Macaca fascicularis: one gene and its partners. The protein of the gene in region 1 binds, or shares a complex with, the protein of each later gene. Links are inferred from orthologs where the notes say so. Each region holds a gene or a part of one and is shown on either strand. Other genes may lie near its edges. The genes, in order: UPF3B, MAGOH, EIF4A3, MAGOHB and UPF2.

Region 1 (6,152 bases):
AGGAAGCTAATACAGTTGGTGTGGGGGAAGATCAAGTGTTCGGTTTTGGATGCATTCAGTGGCTGAACACGTTAGACGTCTTAAGTGGAGATGTTAAATAGGCAGTTGGATACATGACTCTGATGATTTCCAAGGCTCATAAGAATGGCCAGGTACTGAAAGAAAGAGTAACAGATCCCAAATACAGGGAAACAGTTTTGGCCACAGGAATAGGAATCCAAAAATAGGCTGGACATTTAGAGTGAAAAAATTTAAGTGCAGAGTCAGGGGAATATATTCTAGAGGTCAGCAAAAATGGGAGTTGGCCCTGAGGCAGCTTTCTGCCTTGGGCTCCTATTGCATCTTTACTTTGGTTTTTGTCCTCTATGGGTGTCTGTCTGTCTCTCTCTCTCTCTCTTTTTTTTTTGAGATGGAGTCTCACTCTGTCACCCAGGTTGGAGTCCAGTGGTTCTACCTCGGCTCACTGCAATCTCCGCCTCCCAGGTTCAAGTGACTCTCCTGATTCAGCCTCCCAAATAGCTGGGACTACAGGCGCCCGCCACCATGCCCAGCTAATTTTTGTATTTTAGTAGAGACAGGGTTTCACCAAGTTGGTCAGGCTGGTCTTGAACTCCTGATCTCAGGTGATCTGCCTGCCTCGGCCTCCCAAAGTGCTGGGATTACAGGCATGAGCCACCACGCCCAGCTAATTTTTTGTGTTTTTAGTAGAGACGGGGTTTCGCCAAGTTAGCCAGGCTGGTCTCGAACTCCTGACTTCAGGTGATCCATCCGCCTTGGCCTCCTAAATTGCTGGGATTATAGGCGTGAGCCACCACGTCCGGCCGACTGAAGTGCTTTCTATCATTGTGGTTTTACCTTTTCTAAAATTTCATATAAATGGAATTGTACAACATGTACTCTCTTGGTGTCTGGATTCTGTCACTCAACATAATCACTGTGAGATTCACTTATGTTGATGCGTATATCAATAGTTAATTTTTATTGCTGAGTGGCATTTCATTCTATGGCTGTACCATATTTTGTTTTATCCCTTTGCCTATTGAGAACATTTGGATTGTTTCCAGTTTGGAGTTATTATAAATAATGTAAAATTGGCCCTTTTTAAGTGAAGAGGGTGATCACAACTAAATCAAATTGGGTTTTATTTTTATTCCCTTCCCTGTGGGACATCAGTACCTGGGGAGAATGATCCTTTTGTAAAATAAGGTGATGAAAACAAATCTCGTATATTTTGGTCATATTACTCCTTTAAATATCAGTATCTTGTGTTTATTTATTATTATCCTTCTTTTTTAGATACAGGGTCTCGCTCTGTCGCCCAAGCTGGAGTGCAGTGGCGCGATCATGGCTCACTGCAGCCTCGAATTCCTGGGCTCAAGATCCTCCCTTCTCAGCCTTCCCTAGCAGCTGGGAATACAGGCGCGCGCCACTGAACTCGGCTAATATTGTAGTGTTTACTAAGTATCTGTAAATCCTAATCAATATAAGGAAAATAAATTTTTTTTAATGTTAGGCTCTTTCTTTGAGTTGTAGGAAAATAAATTCTAAAGCCTCTGAATTCAAAGACAAAATATACAAGTCGCTCCCCTAGTGAGGCAAAATTTGGACGGCATTGAGTTTATCCGATGGAAACTAAGCGTGCAGAACGTATCTTTCGACCTGAAAAACTCTGAAGATGAAAGGATTCGATTTACTTACAAACAGGGACCCTGAGATACCTCTGGCTCCTGAACGCCCAACAAAAGCGGGCAGCTGCTTTGCATGCCGGGACTTGTAGTCCCCGACAGAGTCACTTCAAGATGGCGGAGTTGCTAATGACGCGCGAAGGGGCGGGCCCAGAGGGAGTCTGCGCCGCGAGGGGATTGGGTGGCACAGGAACTTGGCGGGCGGGAAGTAAAAACCAGGTGTTAAAACCTTTGCACTGGGAAAGGCCCAAGTCTCGCGAGAGCTTGGCAGGCCCCAGTGGAACGTGGGGCCCGACTTATCATAAGGGGCATTTGTTGGGGGCGGAGCTTTGACGGGAGCTTCCCTGGAGCCGTTGGTGACCGGGGTAGCCCCGTTCCGGCCGAGCCGCTTCAGCGGGGGACGTAGCCATGAAGGAAGAGAAGGAGCACAGGCCTAAGGAGAAGCGAGTAACCTTGTTAACCCCCGCCGGGGCCACAGGCAGCGGTGGTGGGACCTCGGGGGACAGCTCCAAGGGGGAAGATAAGCAGGATCGCAACAAGGAGAAGAAAGAAGCGCTGAGCAAGGTGCCCGGTCGGCCGCTGGCCCGGGAGAGGGCGGGACGGGTCCGCAGCGCGGGGAGGATGGCTGGGAATGGGGCCGGCCCCTTTCTCTCTCAGGTTCCCCTTCTTCTCTTCGCCTGAATGGAAGTCGCACCATCCTGGTTTATCCTTTCTCCCGAAATGGGGAGAGCCCCTCCCGGCCAAATCCTGGGTAGGGGTGAGGAAAAGGGGGGACTCCCCAAACGGGAAGGGTTTAGGTCAGAGCTGTGAGGTGATAATGGGAAGAGAGAGCGACGGTATAAAGAATGAGGAACTAAAGGTGTAATTGGGGAGAAATATTAAATACTGAAGGAGACATCAGGGATGGGAATATTATTCATGGAGGCGAGTTGGGGGAGAGTTCAGGGTGATTAATGGTACGGGAGGGTAGATCGAGAGCATCCTATTTTGAGAGCAATGGGTGGATTTTTTGTATTCGTTAGAGTTTTGAATTCTTAAGTTCAATGGGCAAGGATTTTGTTTTAAGATGTGTTGGACGTGGGAGAAACTTGTTACTAAATCAAGATTTCGTGGCACCCACAAAGACCAGGGTTGGCTTACTAATTTCTTGCCACTAGATCTGTTAAAAAATGGGTGATCGAAAATGATGCACAAACCTGGTAAACTGCAGGGCTGCTGTAAAGAGCAAAACCTGAGATTTTTCCCTGCTCCAGGTGGTTCTCATTTCCAAGCGTTTTTTTTTTAAAACCGCGTTACTATTATCTTTGACTACTTCTGAGCATTGGGCTGCAGAATATTTTCTCCTGGGTTTTTACAAGTGATCTCATATTTTAAAAAGCCCAGTCTTCTTCAGGAACTGTGATTCTTTCAGGTATGAGAGAAAATTGATTTTTACTAATTTTATTTTCCTTATGCATTTCTTAAGGTGGTAATTCGAAGATTACCTCCCACTTTGACCAAGGAGCAGCTTCAGGAACATCTTCAACCTATGCCTGAGCATGATTATTTTGAGTTTTTTTCTAATGATACGAGGTAAAAAAAAAAAAAAAAAAAAAAAAAAAAGGAAAGGGGTAAATGAAAAAGGTTTCTTTCACTCTTTTTATCCTACTGTTTTCCATTTAATTTTTGAGCTTGTCTTTAATATATGCATACTTGTAATTGGGCCAGACACCTGCAAATACATTTACATAATTGCTTTCCTCTCTGCAGTTTGTATCCTCATATGTATGCCAGAGCATACATCAACTTTAAAAACCAAGAGGACATTATTTTGTTCAGGGATCGCTTTGATGGTTATGTATTCCTTGACAATAAAGGTGAGTTCTGGTAACTGAAATAAAAAGGGAATTTCTTTGTCATTCTTTGTCATTTGTATGTTTAAGACAGTGTGTGCATTGCGTTGCTTCCTGGGTGATAAAATGTGCAACATTTAAGTAAAGAGTTTTACACATTTGATAAGCTTGTTGCAGTCTTATAAATAGACATGTGACTTTTCACAGTCCTTGGTTACTTTTATTAACTTACTATTTTTTTAATTTGATCAACTGAGTGAAATTGCAACTGTTTTCTCCTCGTGTGACAAATTTTTTGCCCTGGCTTAAACCTGCTGTTTTGACTATAGAGTTTCAGCTGCAGTACTGATAAGTGACTCTTAAACTTGTTTGATAAGTTTTAAATATTTACTTCTTATTTTGCTTCAAAGACAAACATTTATTTAATTCAAATCCATTAAGCCAACAGTTCCCAGTTGGGATACTGTTGAACATTCTCACAAAGTTGTATATAATTAAAACATGAAACTTGATACATTGGCCGAGCACGGTGGCTCACGCCTGTAATCCCAGCACTTTGGGAGGCCGAGGCGGGCAGATCACGAGGTCAGGAAATCGAGACCATCCTGGCTAACACAGTGAAACCCCGTCTCTACTAAAAATACAAGAAATTAGCCGGGCATGGTGGCGGGTGCCTGTAGTCCCAGCTACTCGGGAGGCTGAGGCAGGAGAATGGCGTGAACCCAGGAGGCGGAGCTTGCAGTGAGCGGAGATCGCACCACTGCACTCCAGCCTGGGCGACAGAGCAAGACTCCGTTCCAAAAAAAAAAAAAAAAACTTGATACATCTCGGCCCGGTGCGTGGCTCTCGCCTGTAATCCTGTAATCCCAGCACTTTGGGATGCCGAGGCAAGTGGATCACGAGGTCAGGAGATCGAGACCAGCCTGGCCAACATGGTGAAACCCCGTCTCTACTAAAAATACTAAAAAAAATTAGCCAAATGCGGCGCCTGTAATCCCAGCTACTCAGGAGGCTGAGGCAGAAGAATCGCTTGAACCCGGGAGGCAGAGGTTGCAGTGAGCCGAGATCACGCCACTGCACTCCAGCCTGGCGACAGAGCCAGACTCTGTCTCAAAAAAAAACAAAAACAAAAACAAAAAAAACCTTGATACTTCTCTTACTTTATATCTAGAAAGGTCCAGTCTATAGGCAAGACACATTTCTGCTTTAACACTCTATTATATGCTACCTACAACATTTAGCCAGAGAATGTCTAAGCTGCCATTTGCCACTTTTCTTTTTGGTTTGCAATTATAGGTAAATAGTGTGTCTTCTTGTTTAGTTTTGTTTTTTTCAATATTCCTTCAAAGTTGGTAAAAATTAAATTTTTGTCAGGGACTATGCCAGTAAAAATTGAAGGATTGCCAGTGTTTATCCAACTTTTATTAATCTCCCCAAGCCAGCTATTTTTCCACTCCAACTATTTTATTCCAGTAGATATTTAACTAGATTCTAGTTACTTAGCCTGGAAATCTGAGTTGTGTTTAATTTTTTCCTTTTTTAAAATCTCTTACATGTAAGTTATGAATCTTGTCAATTTATTGTTTATCTTTTGAGACAGGGTCTCCACCCAGGTTGGAGTGCTGTGCCGCAATCATAGCCCACTGCAGCCTGGAATTCCTGGACTCAAGCAACCCTCCCACCTCAGCCTCCTGAGTAGCTGGGACTACAGACGCGTGTCACCATGCCTGGCTAATTTGCTTTAAATTTTTTTATAGAGCTGGGGTCTTGCTATGTTACCCAGGCTGGTCTTGAACTCCTGGGTTCAAGTGATCCCCCCACCTCAGCCTCCCAAAGTGCTGGGATTACAGGTGCAGGCCACCGTACCGAGCCCAACACCACTTATTAAAGAGACTATCCTTTCCCCATTGTGGTTTTTGTTTGTTCGTTTGTTTTGTTTTGTTTTTAAATCTTAAAGACAAGGTCTACTTATATTGCCCAGGCTGGATTTTATTGTTTTTTTAATATCTTGTTCACCTAGACTTTCAGTCACACTTTATGTTCTCATCATTTAATGTCTAGACAACCACTGTCTCTAAACTTACAGGATTTTCCATTTTTCCCATTCTTGTATAATTCAGTCTATTATATTGCCATGAAATTAATCTTTTTGAAAATAATGATTTAAACTAACGGTTGGGGGAAAAAAGTCCAAACTCCTTAGCCTGGTAGTCAGGGTCCTCCATATTCTGGCCTCACTTCTGTTTCTTCAGCCTGTCTTCCACAATTTCCCTCTGTTTCAGTCTGGTTTATCTATTCCTTCTCAAATATATTTTGGTTTTTGGTTTGTATTTTTGTTTTTATCATTTTCTTTCCTTTTTTCTTTTCTTTTTTTTTTTTTTTTTTTTTTTTTTTTTTGAGACAGACCATTACTCTGTCACCCAGGCTAGAGTACAGTGGCACAATCTTGGCTCATTACAACCTCCACCTCCTGGGTTCAAGCAATTCTCGTTCCTCAACCTGTCGACTTAGCTGGGATTACAGGTATGTGCCACCACGCCCAGCTAATTTTTGTAATTTTAGTAGGGATGGGGTTTTACCATGTTGACCAGGCTGGTCTCGAACTCCTGGCCTCAAGCAATCCACTCGCCTCAGC
Region 2 (6,300 bases), on another chromosome or scaffold:
CTTATGATTTTTATAATTTTACTCCTGGAAAATAACCTTGTAGCAATTGCTTAATCCCTCTACACACTTAACTCTAATTACCACCTCAAAATTGTTGTGATGATTCGAAAAACAAGCACAGGTAATCCCATTCAGCCTAGGAGCTGACATTTATTAGGTGCTTGATGGTTCCCTTTTCTCTTTTTTTTTTTTTTTTTTTTTTTTTTTTTTTTTTTTAGATAGGGTCTTGCTTCGTCACCCAGGCTGGAGTGTAGTGGTATGATCATGGTTCGCTGCAGCCTTGACCTCCCAGGCTCAAATTATCCTCCTACCTCAGCCTCCCAAGTAGTTGGGACTACAGGTGTGCACCACCACACCTACCTAATTTTTAAATTTTTTGTAGAGACAAAGTCTCTCTATGTTACCCAAGCTGGTCTCAAACTTCTGGGCTCAAGTGATCCTTCTGCCTCAGCCTCCCAAACTGCTGGGATTACAAGTGTGAGCCACTGTGTCTAGCCCCCTTCTCTTTTATACAGTTCCCTTGTTACTACCAATATGCGGTGTTTTGTAATAAAAATGTCATGGTTTTATAGCAATTTACAGTTTCCGAGACATTGTTTCTTATAACAGTTCTGCTAGGTGTACGTTTTTATGCTCATTTTAAAGAGAAGGAAACTCTGAAGTCTAAAAAGTTGAGTCAGTTCACCTTTGGTTACAATGAGTCATTGTTAAAACAAAAGATTATTTTAACCAGTGTCCAATGGTTTTTTTCCCCCACCACACCTACTCTACACTCTGCTGCTAATGCTTTTTCAGGGAGAAAAGGACTCATTGTTAAGACTGGGGGCCATGCACGGTGGCTCATGCCTGTAATCCCAGCACTTTGGAAGGCTGAGGCGGATGGATCGCCTGAGGTCGGGAGTTTGAGACCAGCCTGGCCAACATGGTGAAACCCTGTCTCTACTAAAAATACAAAAATTAGCTGGATGTGGTGGCACGTGCCTGTAATCTCAGCTACTTGGGAGGCTAAGGCAGGAGAATCACTTGAACCCAGGAGGTGGAGGTTGCGGTGAACTGAGAACCAGCCGTTGCACTCTAGCCTGGGCAACAAGAGCAAAACTCTGTCTCAAAAAAAAAAAAAAAGACTGGGGGTAGGAATCAGAGACTGCTGTCCCGACTTACAGAATCTTATACTGTTCTAGTTGCCAGGCCCCAAGAATGATGTCATCTCAGCACTGTCTCTAGAACCATTCATTCTCTCTAAGTGTGGAACTTAGACGAGTGAGAGCAGGCTCCTATTAAATAATTATGATCTTGATTGCTCTGGCCCTACTCAACTGTAAATTTTTTCCAGAGCCAGAATGGCTTCACAGAGGACAACTTTGCTCTGAAAAGAGTCTCTTTGGTCAGTGGTCCTCAACTGAGAGCTTTACAAAGAGTACCAATGCCCAGTTCCAGCGCTGGAGATTTTAATTGGCTTGGGGTAGAGCCCTGGCATCAGTATTTTTAGAGGCTCCCCAGGTAATTCCAATGTGCAGCCAGGCTGAGAATCACTGCTCGGTAAGTGGGATGACTGGGGAGTGGGAGATCAAATACTCTAACTTCTCACAGCACCTATTCTAGAGATCAGTGGGGCAGAAAGATAGAAATAAAAGGTGGAAAAGGACGAAATGGGTAAGTGTGGGTGAACTAGTTCCAGGGAAACGGCAATCTCCACTGTGGATTCAGGGAAGGCGTCACTGAGGAGGGCTTTCTTAACAGTTCAGGTCAACGGAAGCCATCTTGAGGCACACACATCGTGCGCGGCATCCTCCGGGAAGGTCGGGTCATTTCACCCCATTTTACTGCCGAGATGACCTAGGTCCAGAGACGGTAAAGAGCGGTGTACGACTCACACAAGTCGGGGGTCCTGTGAACTGAGGTTGAGCCTGGCGGGGGCAAGGCTCGGGGTGTTCGGTCCGAGATCTTTAAGCGAAGTCACCAGACCCCGCGTTCAAAGCCCAGAGGTAGGCAGGCGGCTGGCTCTCGGCCTCAGGCCGGGAGAGAACCCAGCGGGTACCAACCTCAACCTCGCTCCCGCGTCCAAGTGGAGAAGCGGAGCTGGTTGGCCCCGCCTCCGGGTTAAACAAAGTTCGTTACCTCCTAGGCGTGAGAGGGTGTGGCAGTCTTGTTGTCACTTCCGGGCGAATAGGTTAGCTAGAAGGAACCCCTCCATTACGCGACGGCGTAATCTGACGTCACTTCCGCGCGCCGCCGCAAACGTCAGTGTCGGGCGCAGACCGCAGCAGTGCGGCTTGCTGTTGGAAGTTCAGGCTCGGTTGTCTTTTGGGAGCCATGGAGAGTGACTTTTATCTGCGTTACTACGTGGGGCACAAGGGCAAATTCGGCCACGAGTTCCTGGAGTTTGAGTTCCGACCGGATGGTAAAAGCAGCCTGCCGCCCGCCCGGAGCGGGACCAGGCCTTGGGGCGGGCGAGTGGGGAGGCCGAGGGTCGGAAATCTGTGGGGAACTAGAGGAGGAAGGGGCTGAGACCTGTGCAGTGCGGATCTGAAAGGAGCGCCACTGTGTCTGCTCCACGGCGTCGTTTTATCCATACAACAAACGTTGGCTGAACGCCCACTGTGTGCCAGGCTCTGTTCCACTCTTTGGGGATACGACAGCGAAGATAGACAAACTTCCTCTCTCGTGGAACTTGTGTTTTACTGCTGGGAGAGAGATCATAAAAAGATGATTCCGGATAGCAGTGAGTGGTCAGAAAATATGGTAGAATCGCTGGATGGGCTGCTTTTAGATAGGTTGGCCATTAGAGAGCTCTAATGGTATATTGCAGCTGAGCCCTAATTAGCAAGAAGGACCCAGCCTTGTGAAGCTCACAAGGAAGACCATTCTACCCAAAGGGAATACCAGAAGTCAAGGCTGCAGGGCGGGAATGAGCTTAGGCATGTCTCAGGTGGTCAGTGTGATTGAAGAGTGGTGAGCTGGGAGATGGCAGGAGATGATGTCGGATAGGTAGTAGGAGCCGCACCTTGTAGATCTTTATAGACCAGGGTAAAGAGTTTGGACTTGGAAGGCTTTTTTAATTTTATTTATTTTTTTTTTTGAGACGGGTTTCGCTCTTTTTGCCCAGGCTGTAATGCTATGGCGCGATTTCGGATCATTGCAACCTCCGCCTCCCGAGTTAAAGCGATTCTCCTGCCTCAGCCTCCCGAGTAGCTGGTATTACAGACACCCACCACCACGCCCGGCTAATTTTGTATTTTTAGTAGAGACAGGGTTTCACCAGGTTGGCCAGGCTGGTCTCGAACTTCTGACCTCGGGCGATCCGCCGGCCTCGGTGTCCCAAAGTGCTGCGATTACAGGCGTGAGCCACCGCGCCTGGCCGGGCTTGGAAGGTTTTAAGCAGAGAAGAAATGTGATCTGTTCTTGAAAAAGCATTCTGGTTATTGGGTGCGGAATGGGCAACAGTGAAAACAGGGCTATTGATTAGGAGACTGTTGTCAAGACAAGAAAGATGTTGGGGGCCAGTCGCAGTGGCTCACGCCTGTAATCCCAGGACTTTGGGAGGCCGAGGTGTGCGGATAACTTGAGGTTAGGAGTTCGAGACCAGCCTGGCCAACATGGTGAAACCCCGCCTCTACTAAAAATACAAAAATTAGCCGGACGTGGTGGCAGATGCCTGTAATCCCAGCTGTTCGGGAGGCTGAGACAGGATAATCGCTTGAACCTGGGGCGGAGGTTGCAGTGAGCTGAGATAGTGCCAGTGTACTCCAGTCTGGGTGACAGAGCGAGACTGTGTCACAAAAAAAAAAAAAAAAAAGATGTCGGTTGGGACTACAGAGATAGTAGAAATGGAGAGAAAGATTTAGGAAACTGTTGGAGGCAGAATCAACTGGACTTTGATCGTTGATAGGATTTTTTTGGCGGAGGCACTGTGGTGAAGGAAAGAGGAATCAAAGATGACAGAAAACATCCATTAAGCGGGCCACAAAGATGTATCTGACAGGCCCCGACTGTGAGGGAGATGGATTTGTAAGCAGGGACCAAACAGCGTATTAGGTGTTGTGGTAAAAAGAAACAGAGGAGACTTGCAGCAGAGAAGGGGCACCTAGCCAAGCCTGAGGGTCAGAGGAGGCTTCCTACATAAAATGATGGGAGGAGGGGATGTGAGGTATTGATTAGGAGACCAAGAAGAGTCAAGAAGGCATTTTAGACAGCATGCAAAGAGGCTGAAAACCAAAAAGTGCTTGGGATGTTTCAGGCAGAAACCAAGTTGTTCGACTCCAGCTGTGTGAGAGAAGAATATTGCAGGAGTGAGGCTGGAAAAGCAGGCAGGGGCTTTGCTTAGCCGTATGCCATGTTGAGGAGTTTGGATTTTTTTTTTTTTTTTTTGAGATGGAGTCTTGCTCAGTTGCCCAGGCTGGAGTGCAGTGGCGCGATCTGGGTTCACTACAAGCTCCGCCTCCCGGGTTCACGCTATTCTCCTGCCTCAGCCTCCTAGGTAGCTGGGACTACAGGCGCCCGCCACCACGCCTGGCTAATTTTTTACATTTTTAGTAGAGACGGGGTTTCACCGTGTTAGCCAGGATGGTCTCGATCTCCTGACCTCGTGATCTGCCCGCCTCGGCCTCCCAAAGTGCTGGGATTACAGGCGTGAGCCACCGCGCCCGGCCGGATTTTAACCAGGAAGGCAGCGGAAAGCCATTGACTTTATCAAAGTATTAGAGTAACCTAATCTGATAGATCTGTTACCACATCACCTTGTCCACTATATGGACAGTGAACTGAATGTGAAGAAACTTGAGGCAGAGAGACAGCACAGAGACTGTTGGAATAAATTCACTGGGCTCATCTCACATGTATGTCTTCTAGTCTACATGTCTTCTGTTTCCTTCTATCTTCTCCTCATCCCCACCATGTATTCACATTAACCTGTTAGACGCACACATGGACAAAGGGTCTTGTGTACCAAATGTGCTCAGTGATAAAAGCAACAACTTTTCCATCACAGAAATAGAGTGTGGCACAGTCACATGATAATATATGTAAACAGCATCCTACAGTTTTCAAAATGTTTTCACAACTCATTTGAGCCTCAGGAGGTCCTATGTGCTGGTAAGTTATCATTTACTCTGCCTGTTTTCAGGACATTCACCTGCAAAAATGTGATTCGACAAAGTCAGAAAAGAGCCTGCCTGTGTTTTTACCTCACCTGAGCTGCTTTTTGCAGTAGTTGAGTGTCAGCTGTATATTTGGCTGTTTAAGCCTGAAGTGAAGAACTGAAAGACTAGTATTGTTGAACTACCTTAAGAGTAAATAATAAATGTCTTAGACACTTTGAGCAAGTTGGATACATTTTAGGCAACTGCCGATAGTCTTGGTATGGTATTGATGCTTTATTCATGTTTTTATTATATGTTGAATTTGGCTTTTGTCCCCACAGGGAAGTTAAGATATGCCAACAACAGCAATTACAAGAATGATGTCATGATCAGAAAAGAGGTATGCCTTCTGAGAGGCCTTCATTTTCTACATTTCAGCTTTTTGTCTTGCATTGTTTTTGTTGTATCTAGTATTGAAAGGTAAAGAACAGGGAGAGAGACACATGTCTGTAGACAGCTTCTGGATTATTTCCCAAATCATCTTTTAGTTGGGATTTTTTTATTTTACAATGTGGAATCAATTACTGGTAACCATTGACATACCTTGGTTTGAACCCTGAGTCTGCTGCTTACTACCTCATGTGACAGTGGGCAAGTTCCTGGCTGAACTTGATTAAATCTCTGTTTCTTCACCTGCAAAAACAGGGAAAATAAAAGCTACCTCCCACTCCCAAGTGCTGTCATAAAATTAAATGTGTTATACTTAAAGTGCTCTATATATTCCCTGGCACATAGTACACAATGGAGAGCTATTTAATTTGCATCTGAGTGGGAAAGGGAGCATGGGAAAGCAGTTGATATCATTGAATGCATGTTAGATGTCAGGCATGGCATCTTATTTAACCCTGATTATAAGCCCATGTGATGGGGGAGGGTATTATAGCCCCCTTACAAATAAGAAAATAAAGGCCCAGATATTAATTATGAGACTTGTTCAGAGTTACCCCTGCTAGTAAGAGATACAGCAGGAATTCCCAATTAAAGGAATTCCCCAGTAAAGTTTGTATTCTCCTCTCTGTGATTTCTACTACATCATTAAGGCTTCATCAAAGCTACTCTTTTAACCACTCTGCCACCTTTGAAAATGTCTTAGCATATATTTTTCATACTGTTGTTTTAGCTATCAGTTTCATGCTTATTCACACATGTCAACATTCTCACT
Region 3 (5,267 bases), on another chromosome or scaffold:
CGCCGCAGGCATCTGAGATTGTGGGTGACTCAGGCCAGCCTCTCTATTGCTTTTTATTTGGCGTCTAGGACTCTCGGGGTGGGTTTCTTGATCCCTAGAGCACTTCAGATTGAAGAAGCACCAGAGGAAAACAAGATTCCCTCAACCAGATAACACTCGGGGGGGGCGGGGAGTAGGGACGGAGAGAACGCGTGGATGTGGCCTGGTTCTGTAAAAGTGAGATCCTGTCAACCGTACCTTATTCCCACTCTGCCCCTCACCCAGTGGGAACGCTGGGCGTGCCGCCCTAAGCATCCCTCACCTGTCTTGCGCCCTGTCCCAGGTTTCAAAGAGCAGATCTATGACGTGTACAGGTACCTGCCTCCAGCCACACAGGTGGTGCTCATCAGTGCCACGCTGCCACACGAGATTCTGGAGATGACCAACAAGTTCATGACCGACCCAATCCGCATCTTGGTGAAACGGTAGGAGCCCCTCTAGTCGAGTTTACTAAAACACTGGGCCCCATTTATAAAGGATTTTATGTCGTAATTTCAAAAACTTTTTATAGCCAGGGTGTTGCTGTGTTGCTGAAGCTGGTGTCAGAATCTGGGCCTCAGGCTATCCTCCTGCCTGAGTGTAAAGGAATTTAAAGCATGCAAATTCTTTTAAAATTCCTGTTTTGAAAAACCGAATAGGCTGGGCTACATAGGGAGACCCTATCTCTACAAATAATAAAAGATTAGCCAGGTAGGGTGGCACATGCCTGTAGTCCCAGCTACTCAGGAGGCTGAGGTGGGAGGATTGCTTGAGGCCAGGAGGCTGAGGCTGCAGTGAGCTGTGATCGTGCCACTGCACTTCAGCCATGGCAACAGAGCAAGACCCTGTCTCAAACAAAACAAAACAAAAAAACCCATCTTTTATAATACTCATTGTGGTTTGAACCAATAATTCTAAATTTAAAAATTAGATGACTGTATTTACTTACCAGTGTTTTGTTTAGAATCATATTCCACGTGGTGCACATTGTGAAATGTTCAGTAGGATACAGAATAGAGACCTGTGTGACGGAAGTGCTGATGGGATGGAGGATAGGGCTGGGGCGCTGGGTCTGCACCAGATACCATGTCCTAGCTGGAAGAATGAGGATGTAACAGGATTTGTCTTTGTCCTTCAGTGATGAATTGACTCTGGAAGGCATCAAGCAATTTTTTGTGGCAGTGGAGAGGGAAGAGTGGAAATTTGACACTCTGTGTGACCTCTACGACACACTGACCATCACTCAGGCGGTCATCTTCTGCAACACCAAAAGAAAGGTAAGAGGTACTGCATGGCCTCCATGTGCTTGAAGGGGAATTGCAGATTGAGTCTCTGAATGACTTAAATCAAGATTTTTCGGTGAAGGGCCAGTTTGTCCATATTTTAAGCTTTCGGGGTATGTGGTCTCTTGCAAAAGCAGCTGTAGACAATATGCAAATGGTCAGATACGGCTGTGACCATTAAAACTTTATTTACAGAACAGCGATGCCAGCCACCCTGAAAGATTCAGATTTCGTTGAAGGTGGAACCCAGGCTTGAGTAGTTTTAGATCCCCAGGTGATGATAATGTGGAGGCAGACCTGAGGACTGTCGGCCACTTTCCTGAGAAAGGAAAGGAATTGGGCTACATTCTGACAAGACTGGAATTCAAATTTCAAATGAGAATGAGCACACCTGGCCCCCTCCCCCATAGAGTCATTATGTGGAGAAAATGAAGTAAGAGGGTTTTGTGAGTGCACCCCAACATTTTCTGGGAAAAAGTTTGTGCATCCAGTTAGGATGATCCTGAGTTTTAAGAGCAGTTACTTTGTGAATATTGATACTGGTTCTGCAAATGATGGGGGTAAAATCCCGAATGCACATCTCTGGTTTGGTGTACGAACTTGCAGTAGCATCTGCTGATTGGATTTGTAGGTGGACTGGCTGACAGAAAAAATGAGAGAAGCCAACTTCACTGTGTCCTCAATGCATGGAGACATGCCCCAGAAAGAGCGGGAGTCCATCATGAAGGAGTTCCGGTCGGGCGCCAGGTGGGTCCGCTGTGCTGTGGCTCTGCCGGTCAGGGTTTGCTAGACTGTGTGCTAAGCACTTCATATGCACTGCCTGAGGCAGGCCCCAGAGCTGGGGAGATGACGAGCTCCTGCTCTGAAAGCTGAGGCCCTGGGTGAGCAGAAAACCTTCCAGTTAATGAGACGTTCGCTGTGCTCCTGTAATACTTCGGTTGAGGTGATAACGAGCCTTAACTAGCCAGGTTGGCACTTTGGTTACAAGTGTGTGTCTTCTTTTCCAGTAAGTACGGGTTTTCTGTTCATCATTTCAATTAGTTTAATTCCACATGGTCAGGTATCTTCTCACTGCAACCTCTGCCTCCTGGTTTCAAGTGATTCCTGTGCCTCAGCCTTCTGAGTAGCTGGAATGGCTTTTTTTTTTTTTTTTTTTTTGCATTTTTAGTAGAGACGGGGTTTCACCTTGTTGGCCAGGCTGGTCACGAACTCCTGACCTCAGGTGATCCGTCCACCTCAGCCTCTGGCAGTGCTGGGATTACAGGTATGAGCTGCCACTCCCAGCCAAAGATACTGTTCTTAATTTGTTGCTAGGCAAAAGTAAAATATTTTTCCCAATTAATTGGTTTAGGACCGACGAAACAAGTTAAAGGTAGTGTAGTAAAAGATGTCTGTTTTTTTAATCTGATGGAGCACATGACCGAAGTAACTAAATCCAGCAACAGCTCCTCTGCACAGGGATTTCTGGTGCTGTCCCTGAGGCTTCATGTTTGCAGACAGACTGGTGTGAGGGGGAATCTCATATCTTTTGAACTTGTAGCCAGGATTCCTCAAAATTAGCAATGGAAGCAAGTCCAGTCTTAAACTTGCATGAGTAATTTAATCGCCTCAAACACACTTTCTGTTTTGCAGCCGAGTGCTTATTTCTACAGACGTCTGGGCCAGGGGGTTGGATGTCCCTCAGGTGTCCCTCATCATCAACTATGATCTCCCCAATAACAGAGAATTGTACATACACAGGTAGGATGCAAGCTCTCATTGACTTCACTTCTGTGACACATTTACTAAATCTTGATTGCTGTAGATACTGACTGTGATATTGTTTTATTCCTGAAGAATCGGGAGATCAGGTCGATACGGCCGGAAGGGGGTCGCCATTAACTTTGTGAAGAACGATGACATCCGCATCCTCAGAGATATCGAGCAGTACTATTCCACTCAGATCGATGAGATGCCTATGAACGGTAGGAAATCGTCCAGCTCTACTGGAATTGTAGAGAGAACTTCCCTATTCTTAGTTTGGGGCACTTGAGTTTGTTTTTTTGTTGTTGTGGGTTTTTTTTGAGACGAAGTTTTGCTCTGTCAGCCAGGCTGGAGTACAGTGGCATGATTTTGGCTCACTGCAACCTCTGCCTCCTGGGTTCAAGCAATTCTCCTGCCTCAGCCTCCTGAGTAGCTGGGATTACAGATGCGTGCACCATAACCAGCTAATTTTTGTATTTTTAGTAGAGATGGGATTTCACCATGTTGGCCAGGCTGGTCTTGAACTCCTAGCCTCAAGTGATCTGTCCACCTTGGCCTCCCAAAGTGCCAGGATTACAGGCGTGAGCCACTATGCCTGGCCTGTTTTTTGTTTTGAGAAGTCTCTTGTGAGATTTTAGTTAAATTTACGTTACAAATTTTCTTTTTTTTTTTTTTTTTTTTGTATTGTTCCTTAATCTGTTTCTTTCTTCACTTTCAGTTGCTGATCTGATCTGAAGCAGATCGAGGGGATGAGTGAAGACTGTTCACCTGTTCTGTACTCCTGTTTGGAAGTATTTAGGTCCAGCTTCTATTTAATGGGGTTTATATGGACTCTCTTCTCATAAACGGCCTCCTGTCTCCCTCCGAAGAGGATGTGGGGATTCTGCTCTTTTCTTATTTACATGTAAATAATACATTGTTCTAAGTCTTTTTCATTAAAAATTTAAAACTTTTCCCATAAACTCTATATTTCTAAGATGCCACCAGCTTCTCTAGTAACTTACTGTGTAGTCTTGGGTCATTTCACTCACTTTTCTAATTTTTCTTTTTTTCTTGAGGAGTCTCCTTTTTTTTGAGAAGGAGTCTCCCTCTGTCGCCCAGGCTGGAGTGCAGTGGCGCGATCTCAGCTCACTGCAAGCTCCGCCTCCCGGGTTCACGTCATTCTCCTGCCTCAGCCTCCCAAGTAGCTGGGACTACAGGAGCCCGCCACCACGCCCGGCTAATTTTTTTGTATTTTCAGTAGAGACGGGGTTTCACCATGTTAGCCAGATGGTCTCAATCTCCTGACCTCGTGATGCAGCCGCCTTGGCCTCCCAAATGCTGAGATTACAGGCGTGAGCCACCGCACCCGGCCCATCTCACTTACTTTTCTAATCTTTTTTTTTAATTTGAGAGAGTTTCATTGTTGATGAGTTTTGCTCTCCCGCCCAGGCTGGAGTGCAGTGGCACCATCACAACTCATTGCAGCCACAACCTCCTGGGCTCAGGCGATCCTCTCAGCTCAGCCTCCTGAGGAGCTGGGAGCACAGGTGCATGCCAGCACACCTGGCTAATTTTTAACTTTTTTGTAGAGACAGGGTCTCTCACTTTGTGGCCTAGGCTGGTCTGTCACTCATGGGTTTAAGTGATTCTTCCATCTTGGCCTTACAGAGTGCTGGGATAACAGGTGTGAGCTGCCGTGCCTGGCCTCACTTTTCTAATTTTTTTTTTTTTTTTTTTTTTGAGAGCCAGGATCTCCCTGTCTGTCGCCCAGGCAGGAGTATAGTGGCAAGAGCATGACTTGCCGCAGTGTTGACAAACCAAAACAGATAATTATCTGTTTAAATATTTAAATTATTAAAGTATTATTTAAGTTATCTGTCCAAATATTTAAAGTAATTATGTAGCGTTATAGGCACACAGCACCACAGCTGCCCAATTTTTAATTTTTTGAATGTTTTTAAAGACAAGAGTCTCCCTCTGTTGACCAGGCTGGTCTTAAATTCCTGACTTCAAGCAGTCCTCCCGCCTCAGCCTCTCAAAGTGCTGGGAATACATGCATGAGCCACCGATCAGGCTCTAATACTTGAAATGGAAACGTTAAAACTAACTGGCCCCTCCCTTCCCGAAATTGGTTGGGATGATAATCTTCATTTCAGGGTTAGGGTGAGCTTGGAAGTATTTTTAAATTTCATCAGGTAATTCTACTTGAAGGCATCTGAAATTGTATAGTTTATGAATGGA
Region 4 (6,352 bases), on another chromosome or scaffold:
TTCTTAATAAAAGTGATTAACACACAACAGAAATTATTCATAACACTGCACTGTGAAAGCATCCTAATGTTGGCTAGGGTGACTACAGAGAAAGATATCTAAATTTAGAGCTATGCACTGACTCCTTCACTACTAGGAGGTAGCACAGAAAAACGGAACTAAAAGACAAAATTAAAGAGAATTTACCAGGTGTCTATTAAATGGAAAGCCAAAGAATCAACTTAGACTCATTCAAAATAAATAAGGGGAATCATAATAGTATTATCAATTTTTAATATTTATGCACTTAAAGAATCACTAAATACAAACCTGTCGGCCAACCCTATCAGGGGGAGGCCACAAAGCATCATCTTCTTTTGTAATTTCACTGTCATCAATAATTCTCTTCAGTTCTTCCATTACACTCTTGTGCACATAAGCCTAAAAATTAATCATAATAAAATTGGATAATGTCCACCTATGTCACCCCTCAACTCAGAAAGAAATAAGAGTTACAAACTCTGAATATTCAAATAGAGGAATATAGAAAAATTTAATTGATTCCAAAAGTAGAGAATGAGAGAGAATAATTTATCCTTGTTATATTACTTTTCTTCATCTCTTGCCCTTTCCTCTCACATTTATTTTTCCCTCTTCTCATCATTACCCATCTTTGAAACACTGTATTCTGCCTTTGTAACATTAAGATCCAAATACCCCCAAGTGGTTAGATCACAAGATCTATAAGGTGAACAGTAATAAATGCAAGTACACTGAAGCAGGAGAATCGCTTGAGCCTGGGAGGCAGAGGATGCAGTGAGCTGAGATCACGCCACTGCACTGCAGCTTGGGCAACAGAGCGAGACTCTGTCTCAAAAAATAAAAATAAAAATAAAAATAAAAATAAATAAATAAATGCAAGTGTAGTTCACAACAAGGTTAGTTCTCTGAACCTTCTCATTCCTATGGATGCAACCATTGTATCTAATTTAAATGGCAACTCTTTCAATCTGTAAATTGCCTTCTTCTTTACAATATAGCCTTAGATGTACTTTTGTAAATTCAACATAGACTTGAAGAAAATGGGCTAAATGCAAAAAAAAAAAAAAAAGACATTCGAATAGAACTTACCTCTTTTCTGATCATGACATCATTTTTGTAATTGCTGTTGTTGGCATATCTAAGCTTTCCTGTGGGAAATGGAAAAAAATCAATTTACAATAGCAAAAACTGCTAAAAAAAATTAATGACATCATATACAATTTTAAAGGTAAAGACCATTTTATACTACTTTTATTATTTCCTCCCTCCTTGTGTAAAATCATTGTTAGACATGTAGACAATAAATATTTGCTGGTTAAGTTTGCTGAAGTTGAAGATAGCCAAATATTTAAATAGTCTATGCCTACAACATATAGATATAGGGTCATTTTTACAGCCTATTTTCTTAAGCTACATCATGAACTAGAAAGAGAATCTGCAAAAGGCACTAACATTCAAGTTTGTTATATGTATGTATTGGTGTTAAGTGCGTTACACAGAGAATTTAATCTAATCTGTAAAACAATCCTAAAAATCAGGTTTTATTCTCTCACCTATTCATAAGAGAGAAAACAAAGTTAAGTAACTTAAACATGGGAGATTCAGACCTAGATCTACTTTCTTTTAATACTCAGGCTTTCTCCACTACAAAAAAATGTTCCTTTTTTTCCTTCAAATGTATGCATACAATTATACTGTAGACATTTTAGAATTATGACTAAGAAGGATACAAACGATGCTTCTGGATCGAAGTTGATGAGTTTGTTAGCTAGTTTATATTTAATTTTAATCCATCATGATTTGTGTATTATCTGATGTATGCTTCCCCTTATGGCTAGTCAGTTGCCCAGACACAGCTATAAGGTGCAGCAGTTACTCTAAAATGATAGAAATGCCAGTCTTTGATGGCTTGGCGCCAGGCGTAGTGGCTCACGCCTGTAATCCCAGCACTTCGGGAGGCCGAGACAGGTGGACTACCTGAGGTTAGCAGTTCGAGACCAGTCTGGCCAACATGGAGAAACCCCATCTCTACTAAAAATATGAAAAAGTAGCCGGGCATGGTGGCACATGCCTCCAATCCCAGCTACTCGGGAGGCTGAGGCAGGAGAACCGCTTCAATCCAGGAGGCAGAGGTTGCAGTGAGCTGAGATGCACTGCAGCCTGGGTGACAGAGCAACACTCTGTCTCAAAAAAAAGAAAGAAAGAAAAAAAGAAAAGAAAAAGAAAAAGAAAGAAAGAAAGAAAGAAAGAAAGAAAGAAAGAAAGAAAGAAAGAAAGAAAGAAAGAAAGAAAGAAAGAAAGAAAGAAAGAAAGAAAGAAAGAGAGAGAGAGAGAGAGAGAGGAAGGAAGGAAGGAAGGAAGGAAGGAAGGAAGGAAGGAAGGAAGGAAGGAAGGAAGGAAGGAAGGAAGGAAGGAAGGAAGGAAGGAAGGAAGGAAGGAAGGAAGGCAGGCAGGCAGGCAGGCAGGCAGGCAGGCAGGCAGGCAGGTCTTCGGGAGACTCAATATTACCAATAGAAGAAGTATGTGTAACAGTGCAGTGGCAGATACATTGATTAGAACCACTGTTCTAGCATAAAACTTCCCTGATAATATTCAGGTGCTTAATTTATGTGACCTGCTAAAAGTAATAGAGACAAGCTTGACGGTGTTCACAGGCAGAGGAACTGAAAATAATACTACATAAAGAATAGATGAATTCAGGTAAATTTAGCTGAATTTATGGGGAGAGTAAGGTCGAATACAGTGATTAAGGTTTCTAAATAATTGCAGGGCTGGCACGGTGGCTCATGCGTGTAATCCCAGGACTTCGGGCGGCTGAGGCTGGTGAATCTCTTGACCTTAGGGGTTTGAGGACAGCCTGGGCAACATGCGGAAACCCATCTCTACAACAACAACAACAACAACAACAAAGGAGATGGGCGAGGTGGCACTGGCCTGTATTTCCAGCACCTCGGGAGGCTGAGGTGAGGGATCACTTGAGCTTGGGAGGCGGAGGTTGCAGTGAGCTGAGATCGTGCCACTGCACTCAGATCTGAGTGACAGAGTGAGACTCTGTTTCAAAGTAATAATTGCAGGACTGTAGTTCACCTGAGTTCTGCCTGAAATGCTTGATACTCTTCTCCTTTCCTAATATACGTTTCTCCTCTAATTTTTTATTCTTGCTCTCACAGAACATTGTCCAAAGCCTGCTTATTAATATACCTACTGCTTTATAGTTAAATGTCTGTGTCCCCACCAAGACAAATCTCTTTGAGTTAAATTTGTCTTACTCATTAGTGTACCTTCAAATTTTGTATTTGCTTGTTGCCCAGCAAAAAACGTGCATTTAAAAAAAACCAAAACATATATATCCAAATGAACTTTCTTGTTGCAGGTAGGCAGGACCAATGTAACATTCTCTAATAGCGCTGTCAGAAAACAAATTGTTGCACGCTACTGGGGTAGCAGTTTCACCTCGTCCTCTGCTCTCACTGCTCTGGAAGTCTGTTTTTTTCTCTCAAAGGCCAAGTCTCTCATTTCGAGACTCATCTCAAGAGTGTCTTCCTCTAGGAAGATTTTCCTGACTCCCTCCTGTGGAACTTTACATCTCCCCTCTTTTTTGGTACTCTTCATGCGTCCTGTGGTGAACAATTATACGTAGACACCTAAAACATATTATTATTCTCATTTGTTAACACGTCGGGCTCCTCCCCTTCAAAGAACACACACAGCCTGAATGAAGAAAAGGTACTGGTCACCACAAGATTTTATTCATCCATTGGACCACCCGCTGATGGGGGTGTTTTCAAAAAAGTGCTAGCATTTTTAATCCAGGTCAACAATCTACAGAGTCCCTTCTGGTGCAGTTACAGAATTCTGATTACTGTAAGTTCGACTTTTCAGTTTGCGACAGGATTAGCTTTAATTTATTGCAATTAGTTCTCTTTCATTTATAAAACCAACTTAGGCCTCCTCTATTCTTAAGCTCCTATTTCCTTCGAGGGAAGCAGTGGCCTCCGCCCCCTGTACCCTCCACACCACCCGGCCTCCCCTCGCCTCCTCCACGGCCTCTCGGTCTCGCTCCCCTTTCCCAGCACCGCGTGCCGTGGGCCTCTTCTCACCGTCCGGCCGAAATTCGAACTCCAGAAACTCGTGCCCAAACTTGCCCTTGTGCCCTACGTAGTAGCGCAGGTAGAAATCGCTAGCCATAGCCATTTTTGTCCCCGGGAAGCCCGCCGAAAACCCAGCCAACGTGTCCCCCGGCGCCTTGTAGTCACGTCATCGCGCGGAATAAGTGCGTCACCACAGGCGCTTCTCTTCCGCCTGCCTTGCAGCCCTGGACTAAAGCGTGAAAGCCGAGTCTCGCGTGAGAGGCCAGTTGGTGCTGAAGGGAGAGTCGCATGCCGTGACTTTCTCTTTACTAGGATTGGAGGCACATTATTTTCAAAATAAAGATCACATTATATTAGCAAATATTAGAAATGTGAGCATATGATAGTATTTTTTATCGACTTAGAGCTAAATTAGGTTTGCAAGTGGCTTTTACTTTTCTGGTCTCCCAGTCCTCGGGGCGTTTGTGAGGTGGGTGTGGCTCTATTCCCCCTTTAACTGGGAGCTAAATAAAGATAAAGCTTAGAATAGAGATGGCAGACCGGGAATATAAACCATTTTTCTTACTTGATTTCGAACAGGGTGCTTTCCCCTTTGAATAACGATTGGTAGTTGCCCCGGACCTATAAGCCTATAATAATAGAGACAAAGTCAAAGGAATCCATCACAGCAAAGAACTTAAGAGATCTCATTTGATCTCTCAAGAATTCTGTGAGCTTGGCAATGTAGATTGCTGTATATGCCTTAGGCTGAAGAACAAACAGGCTTAGAGATAGTCACTAGCCCGAGGTTAGGTAGCTGTAAGTGTTGGGATTGAATCCCAGGTCTTCTCACCACCACTTTCTACTAAAAATCACTGACGGTAATTTCAGTGGGACAAAACTGGCTTAAAGTCTTAAAACACACACCCCCTACGCCTGAAAAACCCTGACTGTCACCGTGCTGTTTTTTAACAGCAGAACTTCTATGGTTCTTAATTCATTCAGTAAGGGTTAACTTTTAGTAGCCTGTGGAGTTTTGGCAATTTGACTTAAGATACAACAATGGTTTAGCCCATTACTGTTTCTCGCCAGATATAATTAAATTGGAGGAATGAAAGAATGCTCCATTGTGGCATAGTTTTTAAGGTAAGGGAAAGACTTTTACACAAAGTCTGCTTTTTAAATATTATTGATCACCCTTTTGTTATCAACACACAGAGTAATCCTCTCTGCTGGTTGACAACCTTCAGTGATTTTTGTAGAAAGTGGTGGTGAGAAGACCTGGGATTCAATCCCAACACTTACAGCTACCTAACCTCGGGCAAGTGACTCTCTAAGCCTGTTTATTCATCAGCCTAAGGCATATACAGCAATCTACATTGCCAAGCTCACAGAATTCTTGAGAGATCAAATGAGATATGTAAAATAAGCTTTAAATTTTATAAAACGTTAGTTTTAACAAACATTTCCTATGTGACAGTTTGAAACTAGAAATAAAAAGGCATTTGCACTGGTAGTCTAGAAAAGAAAGCAAACTTGTAAGGCAAATATTGGCACAATGGATCAATTGCTATAATTAAGAATATATGTGCCATTCTGGCCAACATGGTGAAACCCCGTCTCTACTATAAATACCAAAAACTTAGCTGGGCGTGGTGGCGTGTGCCTGTAGTCCCAGTTGCACGGGAGGCTGAGGCAGGAGAATCGCTTGAACCCGGGAGGCAGAGGTTGCAGTGAGCTGAGATGATCCCACCGCACTCCAGCCTGGGCAACAAGAGCGAAACTTCGTCTCAAAAAAAAAAAAAAAAAAGGAAAGGAAAAGGAAAAGAAAAAGGAGGAGGAGGGAGGGGGAAGGGGAGGAGGAAGAAGATGATACGTGGCCGGGCACAGTGGCTCATGCCTGTAATCCCAGCACTTTGGGAGGCCAAAGGGGGCAAATCACCCGAGGTCAGGAGTTCAAGACCAGCCTAGCCAACATAGCAAAACCCTGTCTTTACTAAAAATACAAAAATTAGCCAGGTCTGGTGGCACGCGTCTGTATTCCCAGCTACTCATGAGGCTGAGGCAGGAGAATCGCTTGAACCCGGGAGGCGGAGATCGCGCCATTGCACTCCAGCCTGGGTGAGGAAAGCAAAACTTCGTCTATATATATATATACATATATATATATACACACACACACATACACACACACACACATACACACACACATTTATATATAAATATATATTTTATATATAAATGTGTGTGTTTGTGTGTGT
Region 5 (5,685 bases), on another chromosome or scaffold:
AATCTCAGCTACTCAGGAGGCTGAGGTGGGAGGATCGCTTGAGCCCAAGAGGTTGAGGCTGCAGTGAGCTATGATCACACCACTGCACTCCAGCCTTGGCAACAGAGAGAAACCCTGTCTCAAAAAAAAAACAAAAAAAAAAAGACATGTGGAGATCAAACAATTTTTTTCTTTAAATTGCTTATTAAATAAAAATGCTATGATCAGTATTTTATTACTTTCTTTAAAAACTTTTAACGTGGGCGCGGTGGCTCACGCCTGTAAACCCAGCACTTTGGGAGGCCGAGGCGGGCGGATCACAAGGTCAGGAGATCGAGACCACGGTGAAACCCCATCTCTACTAAAAATACAAGAAATTAGCCGGGCGCGGTGGCGGGTGCCTGTAGTCCCAGCTACTCAGGAGGCTGAGGCAGGAGAATGACGTGAACCCGGGAGGCAGAGCTTACAGTGAGTCGAGATCGCGCCACTGCACTTCCAGCCTGGGGGACAGAGCAAGACTCCATCTCAAAAAAAAAACTTTCAATTAAACAAGGGGTTTTATGATAGAAATATACTACTAGTTACATTTACTATCATAAAACTAAATAAGAGACCAGGTGCAGTGGCTCACGCCTGTAATCCTAGCACTTTGGGGGGCTGTGAGGGGCGGATCACTTGAAGTCAGGGGTTCAAGACCAGCCTGGCCAACATGGTGAAACCCCATCTCTAGTAAAAATACAAAAATTAGCTGGGCGTGGTGGCAGGTACCTGTTATCTCAGCTACTCGGGAGGCTGAGGCAGGAGAATGACTTGAACCCAAGAGGCAGAGGTCGCAGTGAGCCAAGATTGCACCACAGGACTCCAATTTGGGCGACAGAGCAAGACTCTGTCTCAAAAAAAAAAAAAACAAAAAACAACTAAGGAGGAGGTCTTATGTATTAAAAAAATTTTGGCTCGTATAATCAAAATACTCTTATACAAATGTACTCTATGTTGCTATATATAAAAGTCATCACCTCTTCTTCTGGCTCATTTACTTCACTTTCATTCCCAGATTGTTCTTCTGTTTCAGCTCCCCCTTCTTCTTCTTCTTCATCCTCTTCAAGATTTTCTCCTTCTGTCATAGAATCTTTTGAATCTTTGTCATTTACTAGGCCTTGAAATGAGAAGATGGAAATGGAAAATACATTAAAAATAGATACAGGCCAGTTTTCTATACTATACCAATTCATGTAAAAGTATGCATTAATAATTCAACAGCCATTTTCTCAGAACAAACGTAAAAGAGTTAAAAACTGCGGTGAGAGACATTTTAAAAACTAAATGTGTAGGCCTACATTTCAACAAAGAAACACCACTAACAAAAAGCGACAAAAAATAAGTGTATATGTGTGTATACTTTTCCCTCTTTTCTTACAGCTTTAAATACTTGGATAATCTTATATATCTCAGTCTTGGACAAAGGTAGAAAACAGCAACAGAGGAGGTACAGTCTCAGCCATATGTAAGATACAGCGTTGGCCACACTCTTTACCAAATGAGATTTAAAGAGTCTCCAAAAACTCAAAGACTTGAAACAAATTGTGCCACTTTAATGGATAAATCATATTTGGCTATCAATTTGAATGTATGCAAATTAAGATGTGGGGGAATGGGGCAAAAAGCTACATAGCAGCTTTGTCACCATACAGACTCACTTTTTTTCTTCAATAACAGCATTCTCCTCCTAAGCCTAATGGAACTCCCTGGCCTGAATCTGCTTTCACCTCCTGTGTCCATCCCACATTTCACAGCCTAGTCAATTCTTCCTGTTGGAATTCCAATCCACCCTCTCTACTTTTGAGATGCACACAATATGGTCTCATCCGATCCCACTGATCTGCTACCCACTCCTCTCTCCTAAGCCCTCCCCTGAAGTTGCCTCAGACATCTCCTGTCACAGAACACACTGCTTTAAGATTTTGCTTGTCCAATATCCTTCTCAATAGAGAACACCCTTCAATACGTACTTTCAGATCCCATCCACTCTTCAAGTTCCGTTTCAGTTTTACTTGCTGCATAAACTGTCAATGAGTATTTCAATCTATTACTTTTTCTCCTATTTGCTCCTAAAGCATGTGGAGAACTTATAGCATCTTACATTTGATGATATACTACGTTGTTATTTTTTTCCTAATAATCACATAAATATTACATCAGATTATAAGACCCTTGAGGACAAAAAACTTATATGTTCAAAACTTGAGAGCACATATATTAATAAATACACAGTAGGTGTTAAATAAATACCTGTTGATTCATAGAATCTGAGAGGATTCAAGCAGGAAGAAACTTTAGTGATGATATGATTTAACCCTCTCATTTCATGAATACTGGTTTGAACACTTCCAAACCAGAATTCAAATAATATTGACTATTATCATTTTAGTTTTGTTCTTAAATTAAAATAAAAATCTGAGCCAGTAATCTTACCTATCCTGAGAAAATCAGAGGTACACTAAAAATGTTATTTACATAAAACTAGAATCAACCTAAGAGTGAAACAGTATCAACCTAAGAGTGAAACAGCTGTATGAAGTAAATTATGGCACATAGATACAAATGAACACAGCCAATTAAAAAACAAAAAATAAAGCTTTAAAAGAATATGTGTAATGTCAAGAAAAAATTTCATAATGTATTAAGTAGAACCAATTGGTTATAAAATCACAAACACATAAAAAATTTAAAAAGAGTAGAAAAATATGTATCAAAATAGTAACACATGATTATCCTTCTGTATGGAATATTGGTATTGTTTTCTTGGTATTTAAAAAAATTACTGTCATGAACACTTATGACTTTTAATACTATTAAAAATTATTTTTAAAATACAAGAAAATGGTTTTAGTATTTTCCAATTAACTACAATGTTAACATTGGGATACTATAAAACTAACATAAGACAATGAATTTTCAGGTGTCTGAAAACAAAAAACTACCAAAAGCACAATACTGTATTATCTTCTGGTTTATCAGTAGGAAACTGATTTAATATCAATTTTTCTGCATATGTCTTCTTCCTGATATTTAGACTCTATAACCAGGAAGCAAATGGAGACTTGGGAGTGCACTGATTGCAGCTGCTACCATCTTTTGAGTTTTATTCATGAACAGCGATCTATTTTTTACCTTCATATTCTAAGCAAGGACAGAGTCCTCACAAGAAGCCTGCAGTCCTTTTTAGCCTTTTGATCTACAAAGGACAAAGCACAACTGTTCTCTTTTCTGTCACCAAACTAGGTATCACACTAATATTTACTCATGTCCACTATACAGAGAGTACCATTCATTAAGGTTTTTGAGAAACAAGGCTAAGACTTAACAATTTTCCAAGGATCCAAAGCAAGTGAAATAAGTTCACAAATACTCTGCTTGATATGAGATCATGTATTCAATTAGAAATTTCAAAAGGAAAAGAAAGTAGGTAACTTGGAAAAAGGTTCAAAGAACAAAAAGAATCACATATGCTTTTACGGGTTAAGTTGCAGGAAAAGTTAATACTTGCACAATCAGTAGCAGCACTTATAAAACCTTTACCATGAAAAGTGGTTCTTCAGATATGCAATGTAGTAAATTTATATAATTTGCATAACTGGTTAAGGTAAAGATCCCTTCATGATAGACATGAATGTACCAAGTTCTAGTGGGAAATCAAATACTAGCTTAATAGTATGAAAACGTGTCACTTTATTTTTATTTTATTTATTTTTTTTGAGATGTAGTTTCACTCTTGTTGCCCAGGCTATAGTGCAATGGCGTGATCTTGGCTCACTCCAATCTCCGTCTCCCGGGTTCAAGCAATTCTCCTGCCTCAGCCTCCTGAGTAGTTGGGATTATGGGCGTGCGCCACCATGCCTGGATAATTTTTGCATTTTTAGTAGAGATGGGGTTTTGCCATGTTGGCCAGGCTGGTCTCCAACTCCTGACCTCAGGTGATCTGCCTGCCTCGGCCTCCCAAAGTGCTGGGATTACAAGCATGAGCCACCACAACTGTCCAAAACATGTCACTTTAAAATGACTACAATAAAACATGCTAAGAACTATCAGCATATAAACCAGGTTGGTATGGCTATACCTTGTACTGGTTATTTCTAAAGACATGTAAGTTCCTGCAGCTCTAATGGCAGCTATTCAAGAGTTAACTCTTCTCCCCAAAACAACCTCAGGATACTGAAGTATATAGAGAACCTTCTAATTATCTCTAGATTTTCTCTAGTCCTTAGAAACAGAAGCAACTCTGCCAGTGGTAAGCTCTGAAATCCTACCCTGCAGGATAGTTCCAAATTTCTGACAGTTACTCCCTTCTACAGTTTCTTTCCTTGCACTTTTTAGGAAATAATGCCTGTTGAAAATATATACTGCAAAAATAAGTAATGCTTTAATCAAAAATAGATTTTATATTAGCAACCAAAAATTCTACAATTAAGAGAGGTAGACAGGATTGTGGTTTTCGGTTTTTTTTTTTCCCATCACTATTACTTGCTTCAAGTCCTGTGAGTACTGCATAACTGTTTTTCTCCAGTTTGAAATTACCTAGTGAAATCAAGCACATCACATGGCTATTACCTAACACTATTATGTTACACTCAACACTGAAAATAGAAAAGATACAATGTAAACTCTGACTGGTAACATTATAAAGCAAATTCCAGATACAATCTGCCAAATAGCACCTTCATTTTCTGTCTATAATCAATTGCTTACCCAGTTTTATTAAGAATTCTCGTTCCAAGTCTTGTACCTGCCTGATGGATTCTTCCAGAGAATTACAGAGTTTGATCTTTGGTCTTAGCAGTTCTAGGGTATCACTGATCATGTAATCTATATCAATAGGAAATGGATGGTCTTTTGTCCAAACCTCCAAACTTTTCTTCCACCAAACATAACGCTGATAACAAATGAAAAATAAATTTAGCTACAAGAAATTAATAACAAAATATTTAAAAATAATAAACTATATTGTGCTGTTACCTAGTTATAACTATTAAGCTAAAAGGTTGTAAAAGACACCTACCATTTCTATTAACGGTCAACAGCAATGATCTTATTCCAATCATTTCCCTCTGTCTATACAGGCTTTCAGCTATTTGGTGAATGTATTAAATATCTTTTTATTATAACTGTCACAGTTTAAGGCAAGGATATATTATAAATAAAATACCAAATAAATTTTCAGCTACTCCAAAACAAGGTACTGATTTCCCATATTTAATTTTGCAAATATAACCAAATTCAAAGCCATTGTTGTGATAAATGTTCATTATTTTCTCTGTACTACTTGCTTTGATTTTTGAAGAGTTAAAGTATCTGAAGATACGGTTTTTGAAATATATAAAACCACTAATCATCAACAAGCATTTATGGAACATCTACTGTGTATATGGCACTGTGTAGATATTTTCCCTCTCTACTCCAAGCCTGGTTCCCACATTCTATTTTATATTTGTTCTAATTCCTAAATTTACATTAACTGAAAGCACAACCCCAACCCAAGAATTTACTAGTATATAAACAGGTATTCCTCTGGGAGTTTTACTCTTCCTCTCCAGTCTGTTCCAGGTCCTTGCTACTCCAAGTGTGGACCTCATCTGGGAGCTTGTTAGAAATGTAGAATCTCAGTCCTCCTCCTAGATCAACTGAATCAGAATCTGCATCTTTACAATG

Evidence for each region.
Region 2: UPF3B (region 1) and MAGOH share a complex: the UniProt entries of both Homo sapiens proteins name them as parts of the mRNA splicing-dependent exon junction complex. The link is inferred for Macaca fascicularis from reciprocal best matches to the Homo sapiens genes UPF3B and MAGOH.
Region 3: UPF3B (region 1) and EIF4A3 share a complex: the UniProt entries of both Homo sapiens proteins name them as parts of the mRNA splicing-dependent exon junction complex. The link is inferred for Macaca fascicularis from reciprocal best matches to the Homo sapiens genes UPF3B and EIF4A3.
Region 4: UPF3B (region 1) and MAGOHB share a complex: the UniProt entries of both Homo sapiens proteins name them as parts of the mRNA splicing-dependent exon junction complex. The link is inferred for Macaca fascicularis from reciprocal best matches to the Homo sapiens genes UPF3B and MAGOHB.
Region 5: the proteins of UPF3B (region 1) and UPF2 are in contact, whole or in part, in a crystal structure (PDB 7NWU), measured with the Homo sapiens proteins. The link is inferred for Macaca fascicularis from reciprocal best matches to the Homo sapiens genes UPF3B and UPF2. Residues at the interface, in NP_542199.1 of Homo sapiens: Lys52, Arg56, Arg57, Tyr79, Glu81, Phe83, Asn85, Asp86, Thr87, Ser88, Leu89, Tyr90, His92, Tyr94, Arg96, Tyr98, Ile130, Glu132, Pro135, Phe136, Lys138, Ala139, Ala140, Arg147, Asp148, Lys150, Val151, Gly152, Thr153, Ile154; in NP_056357.1 of Homo sapiens: Lys767, Arg768, Pro769, Pro770, Leu771, Glu773, Tyr774, Lys777, Lys790, Arg793, Gln794, Arg796, Lys797, Leu798, Pro799, Trp800, Gln801, Cys811, Ile814, Asn815, Trp817, Tyr837, Gln838, Glu839, Asp840, Ile843, His844, Val846, Asp847, Gly848.

The regions. Positions count from the first base shown.
Region 1 is NC_088395.1:126,202,715-126,208,866, reverse strand, and holds the start of UPF3B (regulator of nonsense transcripts 3B), read left to right. Parts: upstream 1-2,016; 5' UTR 2,017-2,093; coding exon 2,094-2,249; intron 2,250-3,150; coding exon 3,151-3,257; intron 3,258-3,434; coding exon 3,435-3,541; intron 3,542-6,152. UniProt on the Homo sapiens protein: Involved in nonsense-mediated decay (NMD) of mRNAs containing premature stop codons by associating with the nuclear exon junction complex (EJC) and serving as link between the EJC core and NMD machinery.
Region 2 is NC_088375.1:181,433,312-181,439,611, forward strand, and holds the start of MAGOH (protein mago nashi homolog), read left to right. Parts: upstream 1-2,243; 5' UTR 2,244-2,313; coding exon 2,314-2,401; intron 2,402-5,419; coding exon 5,420-5,478; intron 5,479-6,300. UniProt on the Homo sapiens protein: Required for pre-mRNA splicing as component of the spliceosome. Plays a redundant role with MAGOHB as core component of the exon junction complex (EJC) and in the nonsense-mediated decay (NMD) pathway.
Region 3 is NC_088390.1:86,539,556-86,544,822, reverse strand, and holds the end of EIF4A3 (eukaryotic initiation factor 4A-III), read left to right. Parts: exon of another isoform or gene 1-322; coding exon 323-464; intron 465-1,156; coding exon 1,157-1,295; intron 1,296-1,932; coding exon 1,933-2,048; intron 2,049-2,933; coding exon 2,934-3,041; intron 3,042-3,137; coding exon 3,138-3,265; intron 3,266-3,762; coding exon 3,763-3,779; 3' UTR 3,780-4,006; downstream 4,007-5,267. UniProt on the Homo sapiens protein: ATP-dependent RNA helicase. Involved in pre-mRNA splicing as component of the spliceosome. Core component of the splicing-dependent multiprotein exon junction complex (EJC) deposited at splice junctions on mRNAs.
Region 4 is NC_088385.1:10,339,669-10,346,020, reverse strand, and holds the start of MAGOHB (protein mago nashi homolog 2), read right to left. Parts: upstream 4,278-6,352; 5' UTR 4,216-4,277; coding exon 4,122-4,215; intron 1,170-4,121; coding exon 1,111-1,169; intron 421-1,110; coding exon 310-420; intron 1-309. UniProt on the Homo sapiens protein: Required for pre-mRNA splicing as component of the spliceosome. Plays a redundant role with MAGOH in the exon junction complex and in the nonsense-mediated decay (NMD) pathway.
Region 5 is NC_088383.1:12,861,332-12,867,016, forward strand, and holds part of UPF2 (regulator of nonsense transcripts 2), read right to left. Parts: intron 4,910-5,685; coding exon 4,726-4,909; intron 1,136-4,725; coding exon 996-1,135; intron 1-995. UniProt on the Homo sapiens protein: Involved in nonsense-mediated decay (NMD) of mRNAs containing premature stop codons by associating with the nuclear exon junction complex (EJC).